2 linked regions of the Oryctolagus cuniculus genome follow. The protein of the gene in region 2 purifies or fractionates together with the protein of the main gene of each other region. This does not show direct contact. Links are inferred from orthologs where the notes say so. Each region holds a gene or a part of one and is shown on either strand. Other genes may lie near its edges.

Region 1 (4,428 bases), on a different chromosome or scaffold from region 2:
CCAGAGTTGGCCCCTTCAGGCACATGTGTCAGAGAGCCATTGTATTTTTATTGCCCTTCTAAGCTCCTGTTTTCAGCTGAGTCAGAAAACTACTTGACTAAGAGCTGGTCAGAACTCACCACAAATACGAAACACAGTGGTCTGTGTCTCTGGGAACTGGTTGCGGCTGAGGAGAGAGTGGCTGCTCAGTAGGATGGTGGACTCAGTGACTGGAGTTGCTACATGTCCTTTTTCTTGGCATTACAGGTTTTGCCAAAAGAACTTTTTTGTATCAAATATTGATGTGTGAAAGTGAAGGAGCTAGTCTGCCGAACCAGGAGTAGTTTGAGATACTGAACTGTCATTTTTGCACATTTGAATACTTTACAGGCTGGCTTTGTATAAACTTATCCTCTGGTTTCCTATATGTTGTAAATATTTAGACCACAATTTCATTATAAATAAATGTATAAATATTCTGCTTGTGTTTCTGTCTTTTTCTTCCACGCCCATCCATACGCTGAAACTTTAGCATAATGTGATTGGATCCTCACCAGAAAGATACATACAGATAATTCTTAGAGTTTTGTAACTGCAAAAAAGTCCACGTTAAAATTTTTCAGGGTTACCATGTTGGTGTTTTGCATTTTGTTTTAGCTTTCCTTTATCAGTGGGTTAAAGACAAAATTTAATTCACTAAATAATTTTAAGATAATTTATTTAATTTAATGCCACTCATTTTAGTATCTTCATGTATTTAAAATACATGCTTAAGGCCGGCGCCGCGGCTCACTAGGCTAATCCTCCGCCTTGTGGCGCCGGCACACTGGGTTCTAGTCCCGGTCGGGGCGCTGGATTCTGTCCCGGTTGCCCCTCTTCCAGGCCAGCTCTCTGCTGTGGCCTGGGAGTGCAGTGGAGGATGGCCCAAGTGCTTGGGCCCTGCACCCCATGGGAGACCAGGAGAAGCACCTGGCTCCTGCCTTCGGATTAGCGCAGCGCGCCGGCCGCAGCAGCCATTGGAGGGTGAACCAACAGCAAAGGAAACCCTTTCTGTCTCTCTCACTGTCCACTCTGCCTGTCCAAAAAAAAAAAAAAAATACATGCTTAAACTTGGTCTCGGGAGCACAAGTCCTTGTAGCAGCCCCTCTGGGAAAGGGCTTTTCCTGCTTAGGATCTCAGGGTCAGCGGACGGGCCTTCCCCTTTCCCTCCGTTAGCCTTGCATTGGGCCAAACATGAGTTGTTCACTAGCAGCCAACAGCCCAGTACGTGCGCGCTGGCCTGGGCGATGGGACGTGACAGGGCAGCCCACTGAACCAGGTCACGGACCAGGAAGACAGATGGCCCGTCCCGGCGGGGGCGGGGCCTGCGTGCGTCGCCGGCGCCCCGCCCCTCCCGTCAGACACTGCGCCATTATACCCGGCTGTGGGAGGGGACAGTGCCGGTGCCCCGGCGCGAGGGAAGAGGGCGAGGTGGGTTCCCCGGTTCGGCGGGCGGGCGGGAGTCTTGCCGGCGCCAGGCGGGGCTTCGAGGGGTGCGGAGGCGCAGCGGGGGGCGGGAGGTGCCTCCGGGAGGGGTGGAGCCTCGGGACTGCTGACGGGAGCGGATGCCGTGCCCTCAAACCTCAACCCTTCTCCCGGGTGTGTTGCTGCCCCATTCGGAAAAGAGACTCCAAATTTCTGTTGGTTTTTATCGAAAACGTAGTAAGTGGAAACCCGCCATGGTGTCACAGGACCGCACAGTCTAGAGTGAGCGAGCGAGGCAGTGGGATTTCTTAGTGCCGCCAGAAAGGGTTCCGAGTGCACGGGTGGGACAGGCTGTGTGGTGAGGGACGGTGCTGGCTCCGGGTCTGCAACCTGGACCGGATATTTTTTACTCTCTTCCTAGGTGGCTTTTCTTTGGGACAGCCCAGGACTCCCCCAAGAGAACAATGGACTCTGGATCTCGCCCAGCTGTTGGCTGCTGCAGCAATCCTACAGGACTTTCACGCGAGTACAAATTAGTGATGCTTGGCGCGGGTGGCGTGGGGAAAAGTGGTAAGGGCACATTTTCCTTTTTTTTTTTTTTTTTTAAGATTTTATTTATTTATTTCAAAGTCAGAGTTAGAGAAGGAGAGGCAGAGAGAGAAAGTGAGAGGTCTTCCGTCCGCCGGTTCACTCCCCAATTGGCTGCAACGCTGGAGCTGTGCCGATCCAAAGCCAGGAGCTGCAAGCTTCTTCCGGGTCTCCCATGCACGTGCAGGGGCCCAAGGATTTGGGGGCGTCTTCCACTGCTTTCACAGGCCACAGCAGAGAGCTGGATCGGATGTGGAGCAGCTGGGACTTAAACGGGTGCCCATATGGGATGCTGGCACTGCAGGCAGCGGCTTTACCCGTTGCGCTTCAGCGCTGGCCCCACATTTTCAGTTTGACAAGATGTAAGAAAGAATTGACCTCTGCCAAACCTAATGGGCTCCTGGCTGTTGTGCAGTTGATATTTGGAATTTTCATCTATGGATCACCTTCATGAGGTTAACTTTGATTTCTTGTTTTGAAGCCATGACTATGCAGTTTATCAGCCACCGATTTCCAGAAGACCATGACCCCACCATCGGTAAGCCCACTGTACTTTGGGTTTCCCTGTAAAAGTATTTTGAGGGATGTCGGTTTTAAAAAGATTTTTTTTTGTTGTTTTTTTGTTTGTTCTCAATATTTTTTATAGTTTATGAGGTTTTTTTTTTTTTTTTTTTTTTTTTTTCAAACTAAAGCTTTTCTTAAAAAAGATCTATTTGAGAGGCAGAGACAGAGAGAGAGAGGACTTCCATCGAATGGATCACTCCCCAGATGGCTGCAAGAGCCGGAGCTGGGTCGATCTGAAGCCAGTAGCCTGGAGCTTCCTCCAGGTCTCCCACATGGATGCAGGAGCCCAAGGACTTGGGCCATCTTCTTCTGCTTTCCCAGGCCATAGCAGAGGGCTAGAGCAGAAGTGGAGCAGCCAGGATTTGAGCTGGTGCCCATATAGGATGCCAGCACTGCAGGCAGCAGCTTTACACACTGTGCCACAGCACCAGCCCTAAAAAATGATTTCTAACTATATTTTGAGCCATTTTTGGTGTCATATTTGTTTAGAGACAAGCGTGGCATAGCAGTATGTAATTAGCTGAATGTGTCTGCTTTTATACTTTTCTCTGTGTACATAAGCTGTCCTTAGTTTCTATCTTATTAAATATTTGTGGGCCAACTTTCTTTGTCTTCTTAATGGTTGGTATATTATCAGATTAAAGGAAGAGCTTAACGGCCACTTAAGGGAGCCTTTTCTTGCTGTCAGTTCTCTAAGGGTCTCACTGGAGACTGACTCTAACTATGAGTCAGCTGCTTGCTGGTTTGAACTTCCACAGAAGGAAGCAGAAAAACAAGTAGAGCCAGCCTACTGAACTCTCACAACCCAGACATGCTGGAAGCCCTCATTTTACTTCCTTATGTCTCAAGTTCACTGTGCAGTCATGTCTTCTCATGTCTTTTGTTTCATTTTATGTTTTATAAAGATTTACTTATTTGAAAGGCAGAGTTACAGAGACACACATACACAAAAAGAGATCTTCCATCAACTGGTTGACTCCCCAAATGGCTGCAGAGGGACTGGGTCAGGCTGAAGCTGGGAGCCAGGAACCCCATCCAGATTTCCCACATGGTGACAGGGGCCCAAATATCTGGGCCAACTTCTACATTCATGGGTGCATTGGCAGGGAGCTGTATTAGAAACAGAGCAGCTGGGACTCAGACCAGCACTGTGTTACGGAATGCAAGCACTGGCATTGTGCACAGCAGTTTAACTCACTGGGCCACAGTGCAACCCCTCCCATGTCCCTTTTTTTTTTTTTTTTTTTTTTTTAGATTTTATTTATTTATTTTTTATTTTTTTGACAGGCAGAGTGGACAGTGAGAGAGAGAGAGAAAGGTCTTCCTTTTGCCGTTGGTTCACCCTCTAACGGCCGGCGCGCTGCAGCCGGCGCACCGCTCTGATCCGATGCCAGGAGCCAGGAGCCAGGAGCCAGGTGCTTTTTCCTGGTCTCCCATGGGGTGCAGGGCCCAAGCACCTGGGCCATCCTCCACTGCACTCCCTGGCCACAGCAGAGGGCTGGCCTGGAAGAGGGGCAACAGGGACAGAATCCGGCGCCCCGACCGGGACTAGAACCCGGTGTGCCGGCACCGCTAGGCGGAGGATTAGCCTAGTGAGCTGCGGCGCCGGCCGATTTTATTTATTTCTTTATTTGAGAGGTAGGGTTAGAGAGAGGGAGAGACAGAGACAGGTCTTCCATCCACTGGTTTACTTTCCAAATGGCCACAATGGCTGGAGCTGGGCCAATCCAGGAGCCAGGAGGTTCTTCCACCTGGGTAGAGGGGCCCAAACACTTAGGCCACCTTCCACTGCTCTTCCCATGCCATAAGCAGAGAGCTGGATCAGAAGAGGAG
Region 2 (4,276 bases):
GGTGGGAGGGCACGAGACAACCCCCAGGCCAGTCATGGCTTGGAACTCAGAGCAACCTCCAGAACCACAAAGCACCACCAGGAGGTGCCTGTCCTCTCTCATCTCCTTGTGTATGTAGCAACCGGAGCGCGCGTTGTGGCATAATGGGTTAAGCCGCCGCCTGGGCCGCCCACAGCCCGTATCCAGGTGCCTGGGTTCAAGCCCTAATCTCCACTTCAGATCCAGCTTCCCGCTAATGCGCCCTGGGAGGCAGCCGGTGATGGCTCAGGTGCTTGGCTTTCTGCCACCCGCTGTGGAGACCAGATGGAGTTCCCCATCTCCTGGCCTTAGGGGGTAAAAAACGCAACCAGGGTGTTCTCACACCAGGCTCCGCCTTGCTCAGTGTGCACGGTGGAGTGTGTGTGTGTGCTCCCCATCTCCATTTTATAGAAGATGAAACAGCCTGGGAGATAAAAAAGCTGAACTTGAGGCCGGCGCCGCGGCTCACTAGGCTAATCCTCCGCCTGCGGCGCCGGCACACCGGGTTCTAGTCCCGGTTGGGGAGCCGGATTCTGTCCCGGTTGCCCCTCTTCCAGGCCAGCTCTCTGCTGTGGCCAGGGAGTGCAGTGGAGGATGGCCCAGGTGCTTGGGCCCTGCACCCCATGGGAGACCAGGAAAAGCACCTGGCTCCTGGATCCTGCCATCGGATCAGTGCGGTGCGCCGGCTGCGGCGGCCATTGGAGAGTGAACCAACGGCAAAGGAAGACCTTTCTCTCTGTCTCTCTCTCTCTCTCACTGTCCACTCTGCCTGTCAAAAAATAAATAAATAAATAAATAATTAAAAAAAAAAAAAGCTGAACTTGAGGCCACCCCTTCCTGATTCACACCCCAGGAAGCCACCCTTCTTTGGCATACCCAGGGGAAAAAACCACACCCAGGGAAAGACAAGTTTGCATCCTGTTTCTTGGTGTCCCCATTGTTAAACAGAATCCTGGGAGGCCACTGCTTCAGACTGAGCTCCTGCGCTAGGCCAAACCAAAATGGCGTCACTCCTGCTAAACGCCTCGTAAACAGAAAATCAAAGGAAGTGGAGAGATCCCCAAACAGGTGCAGCCGGCACACCTGATTCAGCATCACAACCAAGTCCCCTTCACTGTAACCGTTACCAAAAATGTAAACTGCAGCAACCTACGCCTCACCCAGCAGGGTTCTTGTCTGTTGCTTAGTGCCCTAGCCCCAACCTTATAAAACCCCCTGTTCTACCAGCCAAGGTGGCTGCTCCTCCGAGTTTGTATGATAGAGGTTGTACTGATTTTTGAATTACCAATAAAAGCCAACCGCCTTTTGTCTTTTGACACTTTGTATGTAGCAGCTTACAGAAAGGGCTGGGCTTCTTGCTACACAGTTGCCACACACGAACTGCCTACTAGGCAGAATGGAGGGGTCTATTTCCCACCCACTGCCCTGGGCAGAACACCAACACCTGCTCTGCCCCGGCACTCCCGCTCTCTCCGGCTAACACCCGCGGGCGGGATCTCCCTTCTTTCATCTGTTCAGTGGACAAACCCTGCACTGTCTGGGCTGGGATACAGAGACGCAACGAGCACCAATGTCTATGTGCTACAGGGACCAAGGGAGACAGTGAAGAAGAGCAGGGGAGGGGATGGCTGCCTGTATGCCCAGGTGGCCAGGGAGGGTCTCACTCACAAGGAGCATCATAGGACAGGCAGGGAAGAGCCAGGGCAGTGCACATGCAGTAGGGCAGCCAGCGTGGCCCAGTGCAAGGAGGGGACAGAATGGGGAACGGTGGGGTGGACACAGAGTAGGGGGCTAGGGGCCGGCGCTATGGCGCAGCAGGTTAACACCCTGGCCTGAAGTGCTGGCATCCCATATAGGCGCTGGTTCAAGTTCTGGCTGCTCCTCTTCCAAACCAGCTCTCTGCTATGGCCTGGGAAAGCAGTGGAAGATGGCCCAAGTCCTTGGGCCCCTGCACCCACGTGGGAGACCCTGAAGAAGCTCCTGGCTCCTGTGTTGGGATCAGCTCAGCTCTGGCCCTTGCAGTCATTTGGGGAATGGAAGACCTCTCTCTCTCTCTCTGGCTCTATTTCTCTCTGTAACACTTTCAAATAAATAAAATAATTCTTAAAATAAAAATAAAAAAGATGCTGCTAGGGATGCCTGCATTGTACATCGGAGCACCAGGGTTCAAGTCTCAGCTCTGCTCCTCACTCCAGCTCCCCGCGTGCAAGGGCCCAAGCCCTATCCCACAATGCTTCTCCCTGCCTGGTCCAAATACCCGGATAGTCACAGTCACTCACCCGTTGTCACCACCAAATACATAGATGGCATCTTTATAAGCCACCACCGTGTGTTTGCTCCGGCTGCAAAGAAAGAAAGGGGGATGGCTGGTGAGGCCAGGGTCCTGGGTGGGTGGGTGGGGCACCCAAAGAACAGAACTACGCATGAGGACTGCCACATGACCCAGATAGCAGGTTACAATTGCCAGGATCCAGAGACTTCTAAACCCACCCCTCCCAAAGGACTCTGTACGTGGGCCTCTCTGGACATCCCACGACACGGCACCTAGGGACCCCCTCGACCCGAGACCCACCAGATCAACAGCTCTCGGACTCTGCGCAGGTGTCCCACCCCACCCCGACACCCTCGCCAGCTCCGGACACCGTCCCACGGGCACCATCTCCGTCATCACCACTTCCAGATCGCAGCCCCGGAACACCACGTCTCGGTCTCGCCCCTGGACCCCGCCCTGGGACCCCCTTGAACCCCGCCGCCGTACCGGGCACCCACAAACTCGTCGCAGGGCGGGAGGCGCCGCCAGCGATGCACCGTCTCGAACGGCCCAAAGTTGAGTGTCAGGTACTCGACACTGTCCGAGCAGCTGTGGTCAAAGTCCACGCTTGGGGCTACCTTGGACCGCGCGCCACCGCCCAGGGCCCCGGCCCCGATCGGGCCCCCGGAGCCACCCGGCCCAGCCATCCCGGGTCCCGCCGGGTTGGCCACCGGGGCCGCAGGACTTGCGGCCACCGCCCCGGAGGGACTACATCTCCCGACGGGCCTTGCGCCGACGCGAGCGGCACTTCCTGCCAGCTCCGGGGGTTCGTCGGCCCGCACTTCCCGGCAGGCCTAGCGCTCTGCGTGACGCGACGGGCGAGCGCGGAACCTGGTCTCTGGCCTTGTGGCCAGCGTGTAACCCTCTAGAACGCATTTCTTACGAAATATGGGCGCCAGGGACTGAGGTGTCCCGTCTCCAGTTCCCCCGAGCTTGCTAGGCCCACTCCACCCGCAAACCCATCAGACCGGGATCTCGTTTCCCGGCATGCCCTGTGTCTGCGCGGGGTTGCGGCTGGGATCGTCCGCCACTTCCGGAAACCCAGACTATGGGTTCCGGGCTCGGCAGCGGCTCCCGTCGGCGACCCGCCGAGCCCCTCCTGGCTGTCGCCTCCCTAGCCGTGAACCTCCAGCCTCCCGGCTCCCGGTGTCGCGGAGCCTCCAGATTCTCACTCCTACTTCTGTCACCTGCGAGATGGGATTGCAGAAAACTGGCGGCAGTGAGCGGCGTGGGGTCTGTGTCGGGACCAGCTCCTGCAGACCGCCCCACAAAGTGTGCCTTTGCACCTGCTGTCGCTTCTACCTGTCTGCTAAAGCCAAAGGCACTTGCTGAAAAGCCCCGTCTGGCCTTGGTGGGGAAGATGGGGGCGGGCGGGGGTGTGCTCAGGGGCCAAGCTTCCCTGTCGTGACACCTAGCGTTCTGTGCTCGTGCCTGATAGCGATTACACCGGGAGTCACACAGATCTGGGAATGTGTGCGTTTTAATGTTCAGGTACTATCTAACACGACCTGACCCAACCGCGGTTAAAGCAGCAGCGCCTGGCGCGCCCCCGGTGCAGGCTGTCAGTGCCGGCCGAGGCTCTGGGCGCGTGCGCATCTTCTGCAGGCAGTCGATGCCTCTCTAAGGGGGTGGTGCCAGGCTGCTGAAGGCAAGCACTGTGAGAGGACTCGGGTTCTGCCCTGGGAAGTCCTGGGAAACTGGAGGTTGATTGGCACCTGCCCCTGGGGCTCGGCCTCTGCCCCTGGGGCCCCAGCATGGCCGCCCAGATCCAGCGTGTGAAGCTCAGGATCCTTTCCCGGTGAGCCAGGACATGTCGCCAGTCCTGCGGGAATGAGGAGAGAGATGGGGCTCAGGGCGGGCGGAGAGCAGCGCAGGCTCCCCACTCGGGCCTGCTCTGTGGCAGCCCTGGGGCCCAGAGGGGATGAGCATCTGGGCAGACAAAGGTGC

What was found.
Region 1: the proteins of LZTR1 (region 2) and RIT1 purify together in Homo sapiens (affinity purification with mass spectrometry; 3 studies listed by BioGRID and IntAct, counting the BioPlex papers as one, with this or other methods). This does not show direct contact. The link is inferred for Oryctolagus cuniculus from reciprocal best matches to the Homo sapiens genes LZTR1 and RIT1.

What each region holds. Positions count from the first base shown.
Region 1 is NC_091438.1:42,787,087-42,791,514, forward strand, and holds the start of RIT1 (GTP-binding protein Rit1), read left to right. Parts: upstream 1-1,550; 5' UTR 1,551-1,583; coding exon 1,584-1,680; intron 1,681-1,864; coding exon 1,865-1,969; coding exon of another isoform or gene 1,970-2,013; intron 2,014-2,512; coding exon 2,513-2,569; intron 2,570-4,428.
Region 2 is NC_091452.1:29,736,354-29,740,629, reverse strand, and holds the start of LZTR1 (leucine-zipper-like transcriptional regulator 1), read right to left. Parts: upstream 3,079-4,276; 5' UTR 2,977-3,078; coding exon 2,777-2,976; intron 2,361-2,776; coding exon 2,298-2,360; intron 1-2,297. Other genes in the region: AIFM3 (apoptosis-inducing factor 3), read right to left, coding at 4,112-4,151. UniProt on the Homo sapiens protein: Substrate-specific adapter of a BCR (BTB-CUL3-RBX1) E3 ubiquitin-protein ligase complex that mediates ubiquitination of Ras (K-Ras/KRAS, N-Ras/NRAS and H-Ras/HRAS).